3 linked regions of the Diceros bicornis minor genome follow. The main gene of each other region encodes a partner of the protein of the gene in region 3 in a complex. Links are inferred from orthologs where the notes say so. Each region holds a gene or a part of one and is shown on either strand. Other genes may lie near its edges.

The links. Proteins that work in one complex are often made in the same cells at the same time.
Region 1: INTS7 (region 3) and INTS12 share a complex: the UniProt entries of both Homo sapiens proteins name them as parts of the integrator complex. The link is inferred for Diceros bicornis minor from reciprocal best matches to the Homo sapiens genes INTS7 and INTS12.
Region 2: INTS7 (region 3) and INTS6 share a complex: the UniProt entries of both Homo sapiens proteins name them as parts of the integrator complex. The link is inferred for Diceros bicornis minor from reciprocal best matches to the Homo sapiens genes INTS7 and INTS6.

The regions. Positions count from the first base shown.
Region 1 is NC_080750.1:1,890,704-1,898,475, forward strand, and holds the start of INTS12 (integrator complex subunit 12), read right to left. Parts: upstream 3,043-7,772; 5' UTR 2,965-3,042; exon of another isoform or gene 2,952-2,964; intron 2,508-2,951; exon of another isoform or gene 2,435-2,507; intron 2,087-2,434; exon of another isoform or gene 1,266-2,086; intron 1,248-1,265; exon of another isoform or gene 1,067-1,247; intron 1,044-1,066; exon of another isoform or gene 1,025-1,043; intron 1-1,024. Other genes in the region: GSTCD (glutathione S-transferase C-terminal domain-containing protein), read left to right, coding at 3,125-3,256. UniProt on the Homo sapiens protein: Component of the integrator complex, a multiprotein complex that terminates RNA polymerase II (Pol II) transcription in the promoter-proximal region of genes.
Region 2 is NC_080748.1:25,855,879-25,863,959, reverse strand, and holds the start of INTS6 (integrator complex subunit 6), read right to left. Parts: upstream 3,043-8,081; 5' UTR 2,547-3,042; coding exon 2,436-2,546; intron 2,048-2,435; coding exon 1,970-2,047; intron 1,139-1,969; coding exon 989-1,138; intron 1-988. UniProt on the Homo sapiens protein: Component of the integrator complex, a multiprotein complex that terminates RNA polymerase II (Pol II) transcription in the promoter-proximal region of genes.
Region 3 is NC_080743.1:77,746,431-77,753,511, forward strand, and holds the start of INTS7 (integrator complex subunit 7), read right to left. Parts: upstream 3,048-7,081; 5' UTR 2,901-3,047; coding exon 2,807-2,900; intron 1-2,806. Other genes in the region: DTL (denticleless protein homolog), read left to right, coding at 3,355-3,406. UniProt on the Homo sapiens protein: Component of the integrator complex, a multiprotein complex that terminates RNA polymerase II (Pol II) transcription in the promoter-proximal region of genes.

The sequences.
Region 1 (7,772 bases), on a different chromosome or scaffold from region 3:
AGCAAAACTTCCTCAGAAAGTCATCTACATTTTATACTCTTTCTTCATTCCTTCTACTTATGCCGCATTTCCTTTGTCCCATCATTCCATGAAAATGCTCTCACCAGAGTATTCACAGCCCAGTGGTAAATGTAATAAATACTATTTTCTCCTCCTACTTCTTTTTTAGCCTTCTTTGCAGGTTCCTCCTATTCCACTTAAACAAAAATGAGTTCCTCAGGGTCAGGCTCTGAGTCTCCTCCTGCCTCACTCTACACCTTCTCAAAATGCGTCCTCTGGATCAGCATCAGACGCACTACCTGGGAACCTGTTAGAAATGCAAACTCGTGGTCTCCACTGCCAGACCTACTGAAGGAAACACTCTGGGAGTGGGGCCCAGAAATCCACATCAAACCTTCCCGGTGATTCTGGTCCACTCTAAAGGTTGAGAATTACCGCTCTAGACAATATGATCTACACCCTTTTGCCAGTGATTATAAATTTCTCTCTCCAGCCCATGCCTCTCTTCCAAGACCTGACTGCCAGCCTGACTTGGATACCTCACTGAGGTGGGTGCCTCCTCTGAACACGGCCCTAACAGAGCCTCACAAGCTCCTCTCGTCTCCCAACGAGTTCCTCCTCTAGGACACCCTTTCTCAAGTGATACTTACCCCCTCCCTCCAGCCAGCTTTAACTCCTCCCACTTCCTCACCACCCCATTCAATCACCAGATTTCTTAAATATATCTCAAATTCACCTACCCTTTCAATCCTTACTACTATCCCCACCCTAGACAGAGCTACCATCATCCACCTATCCTCTGGCCACTGTAATAGCTTCACCAGGCTCCCCACAACCACCCTGTTCCCTCCAAATCTCCTCATATCACTCTCCCGCTTAGAACACTCTTCACTCCTCACTGTCCAAAGGTGAAGAATAAGACTCTGAACACCGTCTCTGACGCCTACATCGTCTGGTAACACACGTACAGCAGTGACGACAGTACCCGGCACAGAGTACACACGCACTAAACGTCACCCAGTACCTCAGGCCATCCCCACTTCTCTGCTGAGGCCACACGAGTCACTTCAAGTCCTTCGACATATCACACTCTTTCTCACACCAGCACTTCAGTAGAGAGTGTCCCATAACCCATCGTGTTCATCCTTCAAGTCTCATCTTCTGCACATTCCCCTGACAAAATACAAAGTTTAACTGTTACATGGTCCCCAAATATCTGGTCCTTATTCATAATAGTTAGCACACTGTGTGCCTGTCTTTCTCACCAGAACACAATTCTGTGAGGGCCAGCACGGGGCTGGTCTCACCGACCACGGTGTGTGTGTGTCCAGCAGAGTGCCCGGGAGGCAGCAGGGACTCAGTAAATGCTGGCCAGCTGAATACACATTACCCACGTCCTCTTCCAAAAAGCCTCCTCCTCCTGGGGTTCTATTACGCTGACTCCGCTTTCCTCCTGTTCCTCTGGCTCATCGTCTCTCCGATTCTTGGCACTGCCTACGTATCTGTCCGTGTCTGTCTCCTTTAGTTCTGCTACCAGCTTCTTCCTTGGCAATCTAACGGATGCACATTTTCAACCACCACCTCTAGGGAAGGACTTCAAGTCTGTCCGCACTCCAGTCTCTCTCAAGCGCGAATCCCGCATTCCCACCTGCTTAGTAGATAGCCTACTTGGTTGTCCTAAAGCCATCTCAAGTTCAGGTACGATTAACATTGAGATTATGAGAGTCTCCCCCTATCTCCTTGTCGGGCACTTGCTTTAACGAATGACAAGTCTGTTAAGCAGGTCTGAGGCCTAGATCTGTCCCTCACGGAGTCGCCCCACTCCTCACACACAAACCCGCAGCAGGCCTTTCCCGGGGCGCGGACTCCACAACATCTGCCACGGGTGCCTCTGCTTCTCACTTCACCGCTAGACTCAAACTCAGGTCTTTACTAGCTTTTGTGTACTACAGCAATAATCGAGTTATCCTCCTTGACCTCAACACTGCTGCCACGTTAATGTTCCTGAAACGCACTTCTTTTTCATTTTCTTCCTCAAAAATTAAGGCTTCCCAATGCCTTCAACGCAAAACCCAACGTGTGTGTGTGTGTGTGTGTGTGTGTGTGAGGAAGACCGGCCCCGCGCCGACGCCCGGGCCACCCCCCTCCACCGTGCGGGGACGCCGCGCCGGCACCCGCACCCGCGGAGCGCGGGGACCCCGAACCAGCGGGCCTCGGGCCCGCCCTGCAACCCACCGTCCCGACCCCGCATTCAGAAGACCTGCTAGCAGGCGCAGAAGCTTGAACTCTCCGTCCCCAGACCCTGCGGGCAGCAGAGCCGCTAGCCGGCCCTGCCCCTTCCACCCGCTTCTCCGTTTGGGGAGCGCTGGCGTCCGCGCCCTCCCGCGAGCCCGCGCCGACGCGCGCCCCCTCGGAGGAGCTCCCCCGACCCCACCCCAGCCCCTGCTTTGCACGGGGTTTCTCACGGCGACGCCTGAGTGCCTTAAGGGAGGCGTCCCTCTCCCGCTTTCGGCCAGCGCTCCGACGCGGCCCGAGGACGGCGGCCCTCGTGCCGCACAGCGCCGGCGGCTTCCCCGCCGCCCCGCAAGCACACGCGGGCAGACTCCAGCCGTCCCCGCCCGCCGCTCCGTTAGCGCGGCCTCAAGGGAGCGGAAGCCAGAGCAGCGCAGACGGCGCCGCCTCCGCGCGGCCCCTCTTCCGGCCCCGCGGCCCGCCCGCCCTCGGAGCGCCGGCTGCGGGAACTCGGCGCCGGGGGCCCGGCGGCTCCGAGCCCGAGCCGGGCGTGCACGCGGGCCCCGCCGCCCGCGCCCGGGACGCAGGAGCGCACCGGCCCCGCGCCCGGCCCTCCGCCTCGAGAGCCCGGGCCCCCAGCCCGGCCACGCGCCCTCCCGCCCGCGAGGGCTCCTTCCGGGAGCGCGGGCCTCGGACGGCGGCCGGTCCCGGAGCCGCGAGCCCCTCACTCACCGCCCCGCCGCCGCCCGCGCTCCCCGCGGCCCCTGCCGACCCGGGCCCGCCCCGCCGCCCCACAGCGGGCGGACCGAGGTTCCCACGGCCGGCCGAGGGGGAGCGCTTTGGGTGCGCGACGGCGGAAGTGACGCCGCCCTCTGCTTCCGGTCCGCTGCGTATGAATGACGGCCGGCGCGCCGGCTCCCGTGTGGCCCGGCGTGTCTCCCGTGGCCTGGCCGGCGGCGAGCGGCCTGGGGGCCGAGACCCGAGGGGGCGTCGGAGGCCCCTTCGCGCCACGCCGCTGCGACCGGTAAGGAGGGCGCCGGGCCGCGGGCGTCTGCGGCGGTCGGGCGTGCGGTCTCCTCCCCCTCTGCGGCGGGCGCGCGGTCCGGGGCCTCTGCCGACGGGGCGGGCGGCTCGGGGGTCGCCGCGCCCCCCGCCCCGAGGCTCCGTGCCCGCCCGACGGCCTCAGGCTCTGCGCGGAGCTGGTTTGAGTTGAGCTTGCGTGGACGCTGCTCGGGCTTCTCAGCCGTCGCTGACTCAGGTGCTTCCCGCCCAGCCTGTCCGCGTGGGGTAGGGACTGCCCTTTTGTTGATGGCGGGGTCCCGTTCCCCGCCCGGAGTTCCCGACTGTCGGGGACATGCCGGCACCTGAGAAGAGGTCTGGCGCTGAATTATTGATAAAGAAGCCGAGTACTTCTGCTTTTCTAAGCTTTTCTATAGAAACTGTGTTTAAGGGGGGAGATGCAAACGCTGCCAAGAACTAGAGATGTGACTATTTTAAACATGTAATCACGGTTATTTAAGATGGTGAAAATAATTTTGTTATAAATGCAGCTGAGCGATTTGCTGTCATATTTAATAAATGAAATACTAAGCTATGTGAGGTTTTTTTTTAACCCCTGGTAGGGAGTATACACTACTGAGGGAATTGTCTCAAGCATACTCATTATTTGAAATTATGTTTGAGTTACATCTGAAGGCATCATTTTAAGAAGTCTAACTTCAACAATAAGTCGGTGAAAAAAAATCAGATTTAAGAATTGGTTTATCAGTTCTTCTGTTCTTTTTACACTTCTACTCCGCTTGCCTGCTTAAATGCTTTAAGCAGAGCTCAAACTTGAACTTCAGTAGCAGTGGACCCATCAAGGTTGCTTTTTTTAAAAACCTGTGTTTACTTTGTAGCTTTTGTATCGCCTGTGACTTGACATAAGAATAAATACAGAGTATCCAGTTGGCCTAACAGCAACAGTTTAGCAGACCCTGAAACTTAACAAATTCTGAGGCCAATTAAAACATCTGTGGTCTGCACAGTTCCTTAGCATGTGTTGTTTTTACCTTCACGTAGTCAGAGTAGCCTACTGAATTCAGTTACCATTAGTACTTGGAATGTGGGATTAAACCATTGAGATCCTCACAAGCTGTTGTTTGCCGTGGGCTTCAGTACTCCTATTTCAGCTAGCTGGTGTTGCTGGCAGTAGCATGTCCTGCTGTGGCTCCCTGTCAATTATGAGGTCAGGCTGAGCTGCAAGCATCATGATTCCATGGCAACAGAGGATTCCCTGATTCTCCAGAGAGAAGATGGCACACTTGCCTTATGGCTAAGGTTACTGTAAGCTTTTTTACTTTTAAACTTTTTTTTTTTTCCACTTCTTGCCCAGATAAGAAAACAGCTCATTTTAATCATAGGATTTTGTCCTCTAGGACTTAACTATATGTGTATCCCCATATTATATAATGTAATGAACACTGAAACAGCTCAGTTTTTTCTTTCCTTTTTTAATCTTTAATATCTAAGGTAATTAGCTGCTGTCTAACTCTAGGGGAAGCATTTTTTTTTAAAAATCTATGTTATTGTAAGAAAATAGGATGAGACTTGCAACCAAATAGTGTTATTTTGTGAAATGTATAAAACACAAGCTAAGTTCTACTATTTACAGTGTTGAACATTTGATGTAGTAGGGAATTTAAATAAGTTTAAATTTACATTTTAATCTTTAAGAAAAATGAGTTTGTAATTTTTTTCATACTTGTAAAGTATTGAACTACTTTGTACAATATAAGCAGTTAATATGCATGTGGACTTAGTGTATCATATTTATATTCTACTATTTTGTGACTCCCTGGCTTTCAGCCTCAGTAACAAACAGATTTTTTCAATATTTGTAGGGAAACCTTTTCAATTCAACATGAATCTCTTACCTTTCCTGAGAAGTTTGGAAATATAAACATAATTTGAGGCTTGCCCATCAAAATTTGTGTTTTTTAATAGTGTCAATTTTTGGAATAGATTATAAATGAAAAATGTTAGCTAGTATTTGTTTCGGGTCTTGCTAACGTGGTAGGCATTGTTCACTTCTCATGACACACTATATGGTAGGCATTGTTCACTTCTCATGACACACTATATGGTAAATACTGTTATTATTGTCTCCATTTTATAAATGACATAGCTAAGACAGAAAAGTTTTATATTGCTACTAAATATCAGAACCAGGACTTGGACCATTAGTGAGCTCCAGAGTATAGGCTCCTATCCATTACTTTGTGTTTCTTGGTGTATAAATATTCTACTTGCTAAGTAAGTGTGTAGAATCTAGTTTGGTTCCCAGTTCTCTTGTCTGAATATCAATACACATAAAAACATCTATGCTTGCTTTACTTACGTGTTTGGGTGGATTCTAGGTATACTTTTCCAGTTCAGCTCACAGAGGTGGTCTTGTTTCTTCGTTTAATTTATACGTAGTTGGCTCTTAGAGTAGATTTATTCATTTGGAAGAGAGAGTGGTGTCAAGAAGAATGAGGCTCGTGTTGTACCAAGACAAAGTTCTCAGTGGTATTCTCATTACAGTGATTACTGTTACTCATTTATGTACTTTCATTATTCATTCCTTGAATGAAAATTCGAGTCCTGTTAAGCATTGGAGATATAATGTCAGGTGGTAAGTGCTATAAAGTAAAAGAAAGCAAGATAAGGGGCAAGGGGGTGATGGGAGTGCTCTTTCAATTCAGGTTGTCAGGAGAGGCTGCTCTAAGTTAATATTCACAGACCGCAGTGAAGTAAAGGAGCAAGCCATGTGAATATCTTGCAGGCAGAGGGAACAGCAAGCACAAAAATTCTCAAGTGGAAGTGTTCCTGGCATCCTCCAAGAACAGCACAGAGAACTGGCTGGGAGAGGGGTGAGCAAGAGGGAGGAGGGGTGGGAGATCAGGTCAGAAAAGAAGGATAGCGAGGAGCACATCAGGCCCCATAGGCCGTGATAGGAAATTTGGATTTTATTCTAAGTGTGCTTGGAAGCAATTGAATGGTTGTGAGCAGAGGATGTGATCTGATTTGTGTTTTTATTTATTTTTATTTTTTATTTTTGGTATGTGTGAGGAAGATCGTCCCTGAGCTAACATCTGTGCCAGTCTTCCTCTATTTTGTATATGGGACCGCTGCCATGGCATGGATTGATGACTGGTGTCTAGGTCCGCGCCCAGGATCTGAACCCACGAATCCCGGGCCACTGAAGTGGAGTCCACGAGCTTAACCCCTGCGCCACTGGGCCAGCCCCTGGTTTATGTTTTTAAAGGAGCACTGTGACCATTGTTGGATAATGGACTGTTGTGTGGAGGGTGGAGGAAAATAGTTAATAGGCTTTTGCAGTAGTCTTTATAAGAGCTGATGATGACCTGAATTAAGGTGATAGTGGTAGAGGTGCTAAGAAGTTGGATTTCGCATATATCTCAAAGGTAGAAATAGTAGATTATGAGAGAGAAAAAGGAGTTGAGTGAGACTTCAGAGCTGCAGGCCCGAGAATCTGGGTGAAGGGCGTTGCCATTTTACGTGACCACTCAGGGAAGAGGAACAGGTTTAGAAAAATGCCCAAGTGGAGATGTCACGTAGGACATAGGTGTCCTGAAGCTCAGGGGAAAGGGTGTAGCTGAGATGACCAGAGGAGTCGTGGGTGACATTTAAACCCACGGCATTGGAGATCAGCTAGAACAGTGCTGTTAAATGGTGAGTTGTGGCCCTTTAACGGGTCATCAAATCAATCTAGTGAGTACTAACCAGCAGTAAAAAGTAAGAAGAAGAAAGAAGCACAAAGTAAAAAGTATCAGATAAATTCATGTAGTAGGATATTCCTTTGTGATTCTTTTGTTTCAGTTTTATTCAGTGTATAATGAGTTGCATTGTAAAATTTATTTCTTATTATGAGGCATGAGCAGAAGTTTGAAAGCCAGTAATCCAAGGAGTGAGTGTAGATTGAGAATAGGGCAAAGCACTGAGCCACAGGTCACTGAGAGGTCCAGGGAGGATCCAATAAAGGGAATCAGGAAAGAACTTAATCCAGTGCTGAGAACTGTCGAATAGCCTCACTTTTATTTATTTTTTATTTTTTTAAGACTAGTTCTTTTTTTTTTTTTTTTTTTTGTGAGGAAGATCAGCCCTGAGCTAACATCCGTGCTAATCCTCCTCTTTTTGCTGAGGAAGACCAGCTCTGAGCTAACATCTATTGCCAATCCTCCTCCTTTTTTTTTCCCCAAAGCCCCAGTAGATAGCTGTACGTCATAGTTGCACATCCTTCTAGTTGTGAATAGCCCCACTTTTAGAACTGAGGTTTTTATCAAGGATTACTGAGACCAGCACAATTGCTTAGAAAAACATAGTTTCTGATGATTTTTACTTTGGTGAAATTGTTGTTGCAATGTAACTGCAATATGCTTCAATTTATGAAATTCTAAGTTTATAGAATAGTGCTATTTATATTAGAAAAATACCAATTTCTGAATGTTTTCAAATAAGATCCCTTTATAGATTCAATTAATACTTTTGGATTGATA
Region 2 (8,081 bases), on a different chromosome or scaffold from region 3:
TAAACATTTCTAAAACAAGGGAACAATTCTGTTTCTGTCCATATAAAGCAACCAAAAGTTGTAGTCATGGGAAGAATTTCCCTGAAACTTGTGAAAGTCATGAAAATTGTGCCTCGTGCAACTTGGGAAAAGAACAAAATGTATACCTAAATGTATCATTGTGGTAATAGTGCTTTGTACAACATAAAAACTGAACTCCTTGGGTTTAATATTCCTTTGTTTTGTGTTAACAATACGCATTCTTCAGTATCTTTTATTTTCCAGGTCAGTAATCTCAAAAAAAGTTTTAATGGACCACCTTGCATTATTCTATAGTGAACCATCATGTGATTCAAAGCCCTTGTCTCATAATAAATGAAAGCAAGTACTGCACTCTGGACCTGCCATTTAATTCAGGAATGAATTAAGAATTCTTCCTGTATAGTTGCTTACTGTATATGCTTCAAAAGCTGAGAAATCTTAATGTACTCAACCAGTTATTGCACTCCAGTGAAAATTTCTCACCTCTGAGTAGTTATACAATATGGTTAAATTAAACCCTGACACAACAAATAGAATAATTTCTTCTAACATTTCTCTATTTTATACTAATATAGAAATGAAGACCACTAATCAACTAGTGTATGCAAGTCACTGCAATAGTTGCACAATTGCCTGTGGGTAGAGTATCAGAGAAACTGAGTGTGGTGAGGTAGGATGTTTTCCCTTTTACGTCCTGAGTGAACTTGAAGGGATTAAAACCAAATTCATGTCAACTTTATATCAAAGAATCCAGATTCTAATTCTGAATACAAATACATTTTTAAAACATGAGGGCTATAAAACCACATATAGCATGGTCAGGGTTTCACTTTTGCATTATGTGCACATTCTGTTTTAATCTGAAACGTGTTATACTTGTATTTCATGTTATATAGTTTTGGGGCCGGACTGTGTTTTTCCACAAAAAGAAAAATCAACTGTTTTTCCACCTTAATATTCAACCTACCTGCCCATAGTTGTCTATGCCAGTTACTAATCTATTTAAATTTAATAAATCAAAAGCTGTCCTTAGGGATTGGCCAAGAGTCGTAAGTCCTTCAGCCTGAAGGTTTTTCAGTTCATTCATAAACGTTGCATGGTTTTCTTTCCATCCGGCCTGAAAAGAAAAATGTAAGAATTTTTTTTTCATCTTTTAGAGTCCTGTGTACAAGGACAGGCGTTACAATCTGCCGTTCACCAGGTAGCTGCTTCACTTTACAGTATGGTTTGGTTAACGTGTCAATACCGGATCGCTGCTGAGGGAACTCTCTTCCAAAAGTGGCCAAGAATAAACCTGCTGGCTCTACAGTTTCTGGTAGCGAACAACCTTAACACTTTAGAGCTTCCCTGGGAAATTCACTCCCTAACCTAATACCCAAAATCTGGGGATGCAAAGGTACTAGTGGAAAGCAGAAGTGAGCAGGACTTCGGAAGTTAACCTACAGCTGTCCCACCGGCCCCGCGGCCCTCTCAGCACGAATCCGAAGACCAAGCCGCGCAGCCCCCCACCCCGCTCGCCGGCCCGCCAGCCTGGCGAGCGCGGCCAAGCCTCGGGCCGATGCCCCTTTAATGCAAACCGGGGCTCGGCGCGGCCGGGCCCGGCTGTCACTCGGGCTAACTTGAATAAATATCCCCCACAGTTCATTGCTGCCGCTCACGCCGCGGAGGGGAAATGTCGGCCATGTTGATCGCAGCGCCGCCGCCGCCGCCACCGCCGCCGCCGCCGGGTCGGGCTGGGGAGGGGACGGCGGTGGCCCGGCGACTCTGCGCCGCGCCAGGACGCTCCGGAGCGAGGGGAGGGAGTGGGCGCCCGCAGGGGAAAAGACCTCAGCGCCTGGAGCACAGCGGGTGGGGGAGGGGAGCATAATGAAGGGTGAATGGGGGGGCGGGGAGGGCGAGCGAGGAAGGAACAGGCAAGGGAAGGAAGGGGGAGGGCGAGGGCTGTTACCTTGATAGCATAGGGCGGCTCTTCGAAAGTGACCAGCATATACCTGTCTCCTCGGCTGGCAGGGTCCCGGGCACGGAGCTGCGGGAGAGCGGGTGGGGGACGGGAGGAGGAACAGGGCGGGCGAGAGGGAAGCAGAGAGGCGAGGTTACGAGGCGGAGAAGGGGCGCCCAGCGGCCCCACCGCCCCCCACAGTACCGCACACGCAGCGGCCACCCCTCCGCGCCGCCCCCCGCACACAGATCGGCCCCCACACACCGCCCGGGGCCGGAGCCCGGGCCCGGGCCGAGCCCGGCTCGCAGCGCCCGCCCGCCCGCCCGCGCGGTGGGGGAGGGGGTCCCCGAGCCCGGCGGCTCCCGCAGTCAGGTCCCCGACACCTCCGCCTCGCCGCCCCCGGCCTCCCTCCCCCCACCCCTGCCGCCCGCGGCTGCCGGGCCGGGGTCGCCGCCCGGGCTCGGTCAGTCGGTACCTTCATGAAGGTCTCTACCGCGCCTTTGGCCGTGTCCAGGTAGGTGGTGCCCAGATGGCTGCGCTGGTTCATAGAGGCAGACGTGTCTATCAGGAACAGTAAGATGGGCATAGTGCTGGCCGGGGACACCGGGGCCCGAGGTGGTGGAGCAAGAGGAGATGGTAGAGGTGGAGGCGCCGGTGGCGGCGGCGGCGACCGCCGCTACGCGGGGCGGGGGAGCGCGGCCCCCGGGAGGAAAACACCGTCTGGGTCTTTCCTCCGGCTGCGGGGAGTTTCTCCCCCGATAGTTGAGAGGAAACTCCCCAGACCCAGTCCTCCCCGTCGTACCCCCGCCTCCGCCTCCTCCTGCCTGCCTGCCCGCTGGGGCGGGCGCCCGGCCGTCTGTCTGTCGGTCCGTCCCCCCCGCCTCGGGGGTCCCGTCCCCGCTCCCGGCCCCTGTGTGTGTCCCAGCGGGAGACGGGCCTGGCTCCCCACCCCACCCCCGGTGCAGGGAGTGGGGACCTGGGAGCTGGCGAAGAGGGGAGTGGGCTGAGGGGAGATTGGCCCTGGGGCTGTTGGGAGAAGTTTCAGGGACTCCCTCCGCACCCCGGCGGTGTCACCACTTTCTCAGCCCCTCTCGCTACTGAAGCGCTTTTCTCTCTCACACTCCGGTTTTAACTCGGGCAGGGGCTGCAGAGGCTCCGCCCCCTGACACGTCCTTGAGCCATGTGACGTACCGCCCCGCTATTCTATTGGGCAGTCCCCAGCCTCTTATTAGCATATTCAAACAGCTCAGGGGCGGGGGAAGCTTGTGGGCCGGCTCCGGGAACAGTTATTGAGCACGCGCGGAGGCGGGGCGTCGGGTGCGCGCGAGAGGGAGCGCGAGGGGCTAGCAGGCGGGCCGGGAGACACGGAGGCGGGCTCCGGGAAGGGGCGGGGACGGACCGCGGAAGCACCGCGGGGTGGGGGCGGGGGCCGCGTCGGCGCGCGCAGGGTGGCCGCGGCTGTGAGTCTGCGCGTCAAGGCGGCCGCCCTCGCCTTGGCTGTTGGAGGTGATAGGGGTCGGCGGAAGGGAAATGGAGGCTGGCCTCAGCTCTCCTTCCGACGTCGCTGAAGCGAACCCTTTCCCCGGTGGGCGACTGAGAAGGGGATGAGTGACGTGATCAAACACCCAGTTAGGAGAAGGGGGCAGGGCCGCGGTCGCCCTCCCGGGAAGGGCTGCGAGCCCACGGCATCGGGAGGAGTTTCCTTGGGCCTCGGAGGGCCGGCCCCAGTGCGGGCGGGCCCGGGGCGGGGGAGGGGAAGTGAGAGGTTGTTTATAACCAGGGACTAATCTCCGAGAGTCACACCGCTCCCGCTGGGGAGTGGGGACCAGAGGCGTACCTCGCCCGCAGTCTTGCTTGGCCCTGGGGGAGCGACCAAGGGTAAGGGCTGGAGCTGGAGCAGGGCAGAAGCCCCCCTCGTTGGAGGACCCTCCAAAAAGGGTACAAACCCCCTTCCTAACAGCCCTAAAAGAGTCTGGGGGAAGCCTCAAATATCGATAAACAGTTTGTACCCTTGTTATTCTCAGGGAAAATTAACCGGTGTTACCCAAAGGAATACCTTTCTCAAGCCATGTTTACCTAGGGCCATAGAATATCAATTTCAGAGCTAAAAGGGACCTAAGCCAGTCATAATCCATTACTCTTATTTTAAAATGAAAAAACTGACTTCAGTTTGCCCAGGTAACACAGAGTGTTCCCCATAACCGTGCCGGTGCACTTTCCTTTCACTGTATGGTGTCTCTCGGAGTCGTTCCAAATACTGTATGAGGGAAAACGTTCTCGGTTATTGAAGCAAGCCCCTATCATCATGCCTGGGGTAATGAATCCTCTCTCCTAAATGTCAGAGAAAACGGTTTCCTCAAATATACTCTTTGAAAGACTGAAGACTGCCTGAAATGCAAGTTGAATTAAGGACATACAACCCTTATAAGACCAGGTAGATTTTTATAGGACCTCTTCTACTAGCCTTGCATTTCGATTTTTATATTCTTTATCCTGAAATTTTTAGTTATTTGCCTACCGATCATTTAAAGAAATTGGTCCTTTTGACGTTAACACAGAAGAGACATGGTTTGTGGCACTTTTTTAAAATCTGGAGTTTCATAACTTGGACTTTTACTAATATTTAAGACAACCTATGAAGTTTTTGTTAATTTATAGTAGGGCTATTTCAGTAATATGCTGTTTTGTATGTACCATAGAAGAAGGAGATGTTTTTAAGAGATTTGGACTAGAAATAAGATGAACTACAGGTCTTACATCCAATATTTGCTGAGGACTGGTGGAGTTAAAAAATTATGAAAATATGGTCCCTGCCTTCAAAGAGCTTATGGTTTTTCTAGAAAAATATTACACGTCAATTATTAGCTACTACAAGGCAGAAAGTGATCAGATAGTAAATAATTTAGAAAAGAGAAAAATTTATTACCCTGGGGTGACGAAAGAACAAGTTTCCAGGGTCAGTGTGTTTAAGCGGTGCGTTAAAGCAGTGTTTCTCAAACTGAGATCCTAGACCTAGAGATAAGAATCAGTTCTTTGATACTCTAAAATTTTTGTTTTCATTTTAATGACAATATACAAATCACTTTACCAGTTATAAGGACAAAATTTTTCTTTCAAAGTGATAATTCACATCTGAAAGAAATTTTCATATAATTGGTCTTCAGTTTTCTGTATCAGTGCTTTTCAAATTGTGTTCTATGGACCTATGCCTGTCGGAAAATGTAATCTCTAAAATCATAAGAATTTCTTTTACATTATTCAGATTTGAGAAACACTGCTTTAAAGGATTGGTAGGATTTGAATATGTGGGTAAAGAAAGAGGAAGTTGCTCATGAAAAAGTCCTAGACATTGAAAATGTAGTGAAGAATGAAAGCACAGCATTGCCAATGCTTCCTGGGGTACAGGGAAGTTCAGCTGGGCTGGCGCACCTGGTACACAAAGAATAGTATAAGATCCAGAAAGTAGGTCAAGTCTAGATAGTACAGGGCTTTTATTCCAGGTTAAGGATATTTTTCCATATAAACTAGAGTTTTAGTTGAGGCGCTGAGTACAAAGTAGTGTTTAAAGGAAATCAAACTAGACTACTGAAGTAGGTGAGCATGCATTAACAATGACCTTACCTATTACAGTTATTTGAAATCATTTCCAATGGAGCCATCATGGCTTTTTCTTCCCTGACTCAGGGGAATTGGCAGATTGTCATACTAGGGTCTGGTAGAGCCAGGATTAGATGCAGAGATCAGGAGAGCCAAGTCCAATGAGCCAACCTAGAGCATATAACCACCTAAGATCAAAGGCCAGGTTTCCAGTTCAGAAGCCCAGAAGTGCTGGAAGCCAAAGCCCCGAGGCAGAACAGGAAAGAAATCAGGATGTACACAGGGGGCAAATCAAGAGGCAATCAGAAACCAGGAAGCATTGATGAGTGGTCCCTAGACAGAATTGTGAAATAGGCCAAGGTTATTCTTAGTGACTCTGGTTGACAGTTAAGCTGTTGGTTTGATGATAGCTTAAAGCAGTAGTTCTGGGCCAGGAGATGCACATCAATATTACCCACAGAACTTAAAAATAGTAATAAATATACCAAATCCCCATACCTGGAGGAAAGTGATTCGGTAGAATTGGGATGGGCCCTGGTCATCTCATGCTTTAAAAAGCTCTTCAAGTGAATCTTATAAATAATCATTAAGAACTATATGCTTAAAGTATAAGAATAATGTATGTGCCTAGCATCTAATAGTACTCACTAAATAACTTTAAAAATTCACACCCTCTTAGAGTTATTACATTTCTTAAAAGAACTCCTAAAACAAATCTGCAAATTAAAGGAAAAAAAAAACTATAAATGTGACAGCAATATAGATAACAGTAGATTTGATTCATAAGCGTATTTAAATTGCTTAAATTCTTGACCAAAAAATAAAAAGAAGTAAACAGTGCCAGAGATTCCCACTGTTCCCGTCAGTGAGCTTAGGCCTTGGAGTAAGCATAAGATGTGAAACATGAATCTCTTCTTCACTCAATCTCTGTGATTCCAGAATGTGATTCTAGAAAGATTCTGGTTATATTCAGGCTTATTTTTCTAAAACTTGCAAGCCAACTATTTCATCAGACTCAGCTGAAGAAACTGAGCTCCTGCAGTGCTCGAGGGAGACGTAGTAGGAGTATTGTGGGCTAACCCTGTCCTGTTGCAGTCTAGTGGCTTAGGAAAGATTCTCCTGGGAGGGCAATGATCAGAAGAGGTATGTGGGGGAAAACTTGCTCTTTGCTGCTGTTTTTAAAAAAATGCTGCCCAAATGCTATGCCCCCAATTTAAAAGGGAAGGAATAAATTATAGGAAACCTTCTGAAAGAATGGTGACTCTGGCTTAAACAATAGGCTAAATTGTTGAAATGGAGCTATTCTAACAGAATTAAGAACTGATGAATTAGATTCATTTGTAGGAGCCAACCAGAGCCCTTTTAAATTATTTTAAACCAATTAAGCAGGGCAACACGGTTTAAAAATGATTATGTGCCAATGACTTGGCTTATGGTCTCTGCATGCGCTATCTGAACAGAATAGTCAGATCAACCTAGTGTTCCCTCATGTGTAACCTAACAAAGTTTCTTTTGACTGTCTTACCATTTTCCCAGCTCTCTGCTTTACTCTTTGAGATCACAATAGTCAATGATGTTGAGGTTGAGAACATCAAAAAAACATGAAGCAATAAGCATAAAAAGTTAGATGTGAAATTATGCAGCAGAATGTATTCAGATAGTACATATATAAGGAAATTTAATTTTGGTCATCCTAATATTAAATAGTGTCAATCCTCAGAAAAAAATGCTGCTAGAGACCACTATTATAAAGAAATCAGGGCTGGCCCCGTGGCTTAGCGGTTAAGTGCTCGCGCTCCACTACTGGCGGCCCGGGTTCGGATCCCGGGCGCACACCAATGCACCACTTCTCCGGCCATGCTGAGGCCGTGTCCCACATACAGCAACTAGAAGGATGTGCAACTATGGCATACAACTGTCTACTGGGGCTTTGGGGGGAAAAAAAAGATAAATTAGACCTTTCCAACGAACAGTATTTCACAGAAATAGCTGAAGTCTCAGAAGATTCAAGATCAGTCCTGAAAATGGACATATCCAAATTGAGAATTAGAATTATAGTGGAACATTTTCTCTAGTAAAAGAATATGAACATTGCAGTAATTCTTTCAATTAATATTAATTGCATACCTACTATGTAACAGGCACTATGGTAGGCCATAGACAGTTTATAATCTAGTGGAAAGGCAGAAGACAGATAAACAGATAGTGAGAATACACTAGTATTATGATAAGTCAGCAGCCCCCGGGCATGATATACTAAGACCTGTCTTAGAGGATTGTTTTGAAAATGCGAGGTAACATACCATATTTCATCAATTCTGAGACACCACGGGTTCTAAGAAATGCCGTTATTTTTGGACCACTGAAAGGGAAAAAATGCTGCTAATTAAACTATGACAATGCTTTCTTATCAGTTGGAATTTTTCCACACTATACTGAATTCTACCAACCAGGAGCATTAGTGGTGCAACATGTTTTAAGAGAATTCTCCACTATTGTCTTCGGTATTGTCTTCGAACCATTG
Region 3 (7,081 bases):
TTCATTCAGAATTCAAGTCAGTCTCTTCAACGGCTTGCATTGCCCTACAGGAACTGGCCTCTGATTATCTTTCTACCTTCATTGTCAATCACTCTGCTCAAGGTACAGCAAGCAAAGCAGGCTCCTATCTCAAGGCCTTTCTTTGCATTTGCTGTTCCTTTATTTGATCAGTGAGGCCTTTCCTGACTATCCTATATAAAATTAACAAACCAATTCCAACCCCATACCCAGTTTTCTCCAGCTCCCTTCACTTGTTTCTGTTTTCTTTATAATATGTATCACTATCTGTCACAATACATGCTTACTATATTTGTTTATTGTCTGTTTTCTCTGTCCAGAATATAAACTCAATAAGGGGAGCGGCTTTGTTTTGTTTCATTGCTGTTTCCCTAGCACAAAGCCTGATCAAATAAGTGATGTATGTGAGTGTGAGTGTCTGAGTGTCTGTATGTTGTCAGGAGAGGGAGGGAGAGAGAGAAGAAAAGGGCGAGAGGATACGGAGGAAGAAACTCCTATTAAAATACTTCAGAAATAGTATTTCTTGGGGTGCACTTTCTGAAACTGGTCTATAAGTTTTGGAACTAAAAGAAAGCTGGAATCTGTAGCCTTCTGACCCTCTGAACTTTGGCTCACAAAACAGAAATACTTTAACAGCTAAAGGATGAAATGACTCAATATTTAAAATACTAAACTATATTCTAATGAAACTGGCTATTTCTATAATCTAATCTCTTAACAGATTTAAAAGGTATAGCATGCTGAGGTGAAAAAGAACAAAAGTTTTGCTCTCGTCGTGTCCAATCTATCCTTCTGAGACTCATCTGAAAAATACTCACCAGGGCATTGCTGAGAAGACTGAACAATATATCACTTCCTTAGTATCTAGGACTGACACCTGGTTTACAGTTAAACGCTCAATAGCCATCCATTTATTTCTTATAGATCTGAAATATATCTATTTCAACTTTTAAGAATGAAAAATTGTGATGTATTTTTTTCTTACCATAATTGCAAATGTTTAGGAATTAAACAATTCTAGATTTCTAATACGGAGTCCCATTGTGATCTCTGTTCTACAAGCACTGTTTTACTGTCATTATGAGACGAGCCCACCAAGGTGGTAGAAAATGTCTTAGAATTGGTAAGGATATTACATATCAGGACCTGCAACTCTCACTGGGGAATAAGGAAGGAATTATCAGAATGGGAAGGAAAAGATTACGAAGTGTTAAAAAAACACATTTAAAGTCACAATTTTATATTTCAGAGGGAAAAAATCCTATAGCTTTGGCAAGAGAAAGCAAAGCTCAACATCATTTTCTTGGCGGATGGGGATGCGCTAAAGATACTGTGATTCAACCAAACGATTATATCACTGGAGTGTTGTGACACTTTCATGTTGATCAAAAGGAGTTAAAAGCTTTTTAAAAAGTCTGAGAGGGGCCGGGCCAGTGGCGCAAGCGGTTGGGTGCGCGCGCTCCGCTGCGGCGGCCCGGGGTTCGCTGGTTCGGATCCCGGGCGCGCACAGACGCACTGCTTGGTAAGCCATGCTGTGGCGGCGTCCCATATAAAGTGGAGGAAGATGGGCACGGATGTTAGCCCAGGGCCGTCTTCCTCAGCAAAAAAAGAGGAGGATTGGCGGATGTTAGCTCAGGGCTGATCTCCTCACAAAAAAAAAAAAAAAAAAAGTCTGAGAAACCTTTATCTAGACCAACCCACTAGATATGTTTACAGGTTAAAAAACAAACCAACAAATCCAAAAAACAGAGTCCCAAAAAAGTTACTAGAACGTCCAAGTCAGAGAGCTGGGGAGTTGCTCAAAGTGGACTTAAAGAAAGATCCTTCTAACCCCTAATCCAGTTCTCAATACATTATACACCGGCTATGGTTAATCAAGAATTAACTGTATACCAGGTGACAAAATGCTTCCCGCGTTCAATAAAAACCACTGAAGTACACTGAAACAAAGGCTTCATTTTAATACTTGAGTTCTTTACTGACAAATATCTGCCCTTGCTTCCCATATCCATATCCTAGAAAGAAGGCATATCTCTTTAGACTTAATAAAGGCTTCTTTTGCGTATCATTATATCACTTAATATTTACAACAATCTGGTCAGCTCAATGATACTGTACCCACTTTGCAGACAAAAAACTGAGGTTAAGTGAAGTTAAGTAACCTGCCCAAGACCATAAAATTAGCAGAACTGGAATTCAACTCAGTCTAACTCCAAAGCTTCTTCAACCACACCAAGCTGCCCTCCAGCACCACCCCCGCCCCGCCCCCGTAAGGAAACAGAACTCGTGAAATTTGTCTGCAGAGGAGGAGCAGGGGCTATGCTTTTCCGAGGGTCTTGGCCGTATTTAATCCGCCTAGTAACCAGCAGGTAACAGAGGTACAGAAATCAAATGAATCGCTGTTATCAGTGCAAGATTATTATTTAGCACTCTTGGTTACGAGTTGGTCTCAACTGAACGTACTGAAAAATAATTTCACAGTTTCAATTTAGGATTTTTAGAAACTGCTTGGAAAATCGGGGAACTGTGCCCTCAGGCGGTCAAAACGGGCCCACCACTGGAGCTCGCTACTTGTTCAGCTGGTGCAAGGCCAACCCAGCAACGCCGCAACTCTCCTGCTATCTCCTGAAGCAGCAAAAGCGCTGGACTCACCAAAAGCACAGGCAGCCGGCCCCGCCCAGGGAGGCTATGCGCATGCGCCTTCCCGGCCTCTCCCGAGGCTACCACCGCCTGGTGGCGCCACTTCCCCCACGCCCGTTTCACCCGCTCAGCCCGCTCTTTCGAATACCTTTGTCTAATTCCATAAGGGCAGAGTTAGCATCCAGCTCCTGTTCGCCATAGCCGGCATCTGCCAAGAAAGACTTAGTTGAGTTTGACGCCATGACCCGACTAGTTACTCGACTAGTCTATTCAGAGAGATTGCAAACTCTGCCCCAGCACCGCCATCTTCTTCCACCACCTTCTCGCGGATTTTTCCTCCGCGCTCTGTCAAGCCGTGTTACGCATGCGCCCTGGTCACCCTGCCGTTCGCCACCTCCTCTGCGGCCCCCTGCGCAGGCGCTCAGGGAGCTCGTGAACTCTAGGTTCCCGCGGCTGGGAGAAAAGAAGGCGGGGATTCGAAGGGGGAAGTGACTTGGAGGCGCCCGGACGCCGCGGCGGGAGCCAATCAGAGGGCGTGACGTCAGTTTGGCGGGGAGTTTGGTGGCCGGGGCTTACAGTGGCGGGAGTTGGAGGCAATAACTAATCGTGTTGTGAGCAGCGCAAGCTACGCTTTCTGCCGAACCTGGGGGCATCTCCACGGCTTTTCCCTCACTTGAGCCTGCTCTTCCGGCCCAGATGCTCTTCAATTCGGTGCTCCGCCAGCCCCAGTTTGGCGTCCCGAAAAATGGTGAGTAACGGCCATAACTGCTGCTTGTTGCTGGCGGGATTCGCCTCCCCCGAAACAACACCTCGGACCAAGGCCGATTCCGCTTCTGTTTCCCAGCCCCGGTGGCCGTTCTCCCACGGCCAGAATGAGTTCGTGTTAGCGAGAACTACTGACGAAAGCTGCACTTATATGCCCTAGGGACACTTTTAATCGTAATCGGGATTTTTTTAATCGTAATGTAGGCTGACGGAGGGAGGGAAGTTGAACTAACTGGCCTCCTTTACGGCGTAGATCTGTGTTGCACATTAACTGGAAAACGCATGCGTTTTTGTAGGTTTGTGGTTCTCTCAACAGCCATGTGAGATCGTCAAGACTCGTACTCATTGATTAATTCATTCCTTTGTCGTAGAATCTTAGTGAGCCCTACTATTTGCTATATACAGCAGTGAATAGGATCCGCTCGCTGCTAAGGAACTCAGTCAAGCAGAGAACACAAGCTTCTAGCATGGTCAAAATTTTTTCCCCCTGTTTACTACATGGGCATAAAAATTGGAAATTAAAGAGTGGAAAATACCCATAACCACATCCCCCAGAGAGGACCACTGTTAATAGACTGGAGTGTATTATACCAAATGTTTTTCAATGCCAAAGGTAATATGTATCGTTATTTACAGAAATGGGATCAAAATGGTTTTGTTTTGTTTTTCACTTTAATGGTATAACTTGGAAATATTTCCTTGTTAGTATGTAGAAATCTAACTTATTCTCTACAGTTCTTGAGGTTCCTTAGGTTAAAGCATTGGCAATAGGAGTTTTAAGCTTAGGTTTGGGTGTCATCAACCTGAAACGTTTTAAGTTTCTGGTAAGGGAGTTACTACACAGGCCAGCATGGATAGAAATGAAATCTCATTCATTTAAAGATGGACTAGGTCTTCTTTCCCCTTGAAACCATGTGGAAAACATAAAGAAAAGAATCTGAGAAGGGAACTTTTTATGTTTAAGCCATAGGTCTAGGGAAAGGATATTGAGGAGACTGAGGAGTAGTCCCTCACCTTCCTGCCCCCAGTCTAAAACTTTATGCTTTCCTTACCTGCTTCCCTCTTAGATAACCTTTTAAATTATATTCTAAATGTCCCTCTTTCTGTCTCTCCTGGGACCTTGCTTGAGTAACTTGTCTATCCTCTGTGTCATGAGTGGCAGTGCCATGTACGGTGGTTAAGAGCTCTGTCTTTGGAGTTAAACTGCCTAAGTTTTAATTCCAGCTCCACTCCTTACTGTGTGACCCAGGGCAAACTATTTAGCTTCTGTTTTGTGACAGATTTTCTCCTAATTCTCCAATCTGTCTGTCTACTTCTTCCCCTCTCTCGTTCCTTTACAAAAACTCATTCATTGTTATGAACTAGGCACTGAAATTCTTTCATTCTTATAAATTATGCACTGAACTTTGTAGGACTTTCTTCTCCTTTCCCCTTTGGTGTTGGTGTTCCATCCTAGGCCCCTTTTCTTTTTTTTTTTTTTTTAAGATTTTATTTATTTATTTTTTCCCCCAAAGCCCCAGTAGATAGTCGTATGTCATAGCTGCACATCCTTCCAGTTGCTGTATGTGGGACTCAGCCTCAGGATGGACGGAGAAGTGGTGCCTCGTTGCGCGCCCGGGATCCGAACCTGGGCCGCCAGCATCGGAGCGCGCACTTAACCACCAAGCCACGGGGCCGGCCCCTAGGCCCCTTTTCTCTTCTACCTACTCCCACGGATGATCATAGCCGTAACCAGGGCTTCTTCCACTGCTACCTGCAACCTTGCCTTCCCTATACTTTATGTCCATTCCTATAAAAGCTGGATGAGTATCTTCACCCAGATGGTCAGTCCCACAAGCATTTCAAACTCACGTACCCAAAACCGAACTCACTTTTCCCCCAAACCTGCTATGTTACCTACTTTAGGAAGTGGTCCCATTATTTTAAACTAGTTTCCCCAGCCAGAAACCCGAGAGTCAATCAAAATTCCTCCATTTTCCTCAAGATACACATTCAGAAAGTTCCATTAAAATCTTTTGAATCCATCCTCCTCTCTGTTCCCACTGATTTTGCCTCTTCATCGTATCTTGGATCTGTTCTATGCTTACCATTCTATTTCCCTAAGTTGGGGCCTAATACCTTCTTGTCTGGATTATAACAAGTCTCCCAAATGGCCTCTTAGTTTCTTTTTCTCCAGGTTATTCTCCATATTGCTGCCAATGATCTTTCTAAAATGGAAATCTGATTACTCTTCTGTGTATTTTTAAATTGGCTTTTAAAAGTTTTTATCATAAGTTTAAACAGATGCAAAGGATATTATTTCTGGCCATATTGTGAATATTGGCATTTTAAAATAAAAATGCTACATCATTCTTTAAAATGTATCTAATAGAATATAAATACTATAGTGATTTGATAATCACATGAATCATTTTTTTTAAATATAAACAAACTCTTTGCTAGATATTGTACATACTTGCTTTTTCCCCGTGAATTTATACCACTTTATTTCTCCCATAGAATTTATCCTAAGGTAATTTGATTTTAAATTACCTTGAAAAGTTATTTTATTGATCACTCTATCATACTCCTCTGTGTAAAAAAATGTATTTAAATTGAAATTTTCTGTAATTATAAGGCTCCAAATTGAAATTTTCTGTGATCGTAAGGCTCCAAGTGTTAAAAAGTTTCTTCTGGATTAAATTATTACAATTATTAGTATGCAATTGATAAAAGCAACTTAGGTTACTAATTTTGATAAATAATTATTAAGCAAAGTAAAATTTTATTGGAAGTATATCTTTTAAAGAGATGAAATTGGGTGTTTATAATCCCTTTATTAAAGGAATTATCCAGTTATCTCTTAGTTGGGGTCTCAGAAGTTTTCATACCTTGGGTGAATGCAAGGTGTAAGATTGGGGTATGGAAATGCCTTTCTTTTGAAAACTGGAAGAAAGGCAGTGATGAAGAGAAAGGGGAAAAGAGAGCCTCAGCCACAGATCAATTTTAGAAATGCATATATATGGAAGTTGAGTATCCAGAAATTGATTCTTTGAGAACTCGCTTGCCTTCGGATACTCCCTGAAAAATCTGCATGTAACCCCAGGGGCTTAATCTGTACAATGAGGAAAGAATAGGCTTTTCCAAAAGAGTATTGTAGGGGGAAAGCATTACAGGTTCTTGGTGGAAAGAGCATAGCACAATAAGGATCCAAAAGTAGCTTAAGGGGCTGGTCCATGAAGTGTGTGTTGTGGGCAGTGCAGAAATGGAGGGGTAGTTAGGAACTCATTACTAAGCCACATTAGGCCATTTGTTGGTGGTGGGATGTTAGTCTGTAGGCAATGAGGCAGAAATGAGGGGGTCACTGTTTAATTGTAAAGAATTAGGTATCCTGAGCATGTGATCTTCAGTTCCACCTAAATTGTTCAAGATTCAGTCCCTTTGAATTCCTGTGTTGCAGTCGTTAACTTTAAAACAGAGACTTTGTTTTTCAAATCGTTCTGTAGATGGATGTTTGTGAACTCTACAACATAACTAATTGTATTCTTTTAATGGTCTTTAGTGGCTTGTTTACAGTGATATCTGACCTAGAGGTAATACCCCGAGGAATAATTACTAAATCTGAATTGAATTTCTTTGCCTCCTTTGTACTGATTCCTTCAAGTTATCTCTATAAACA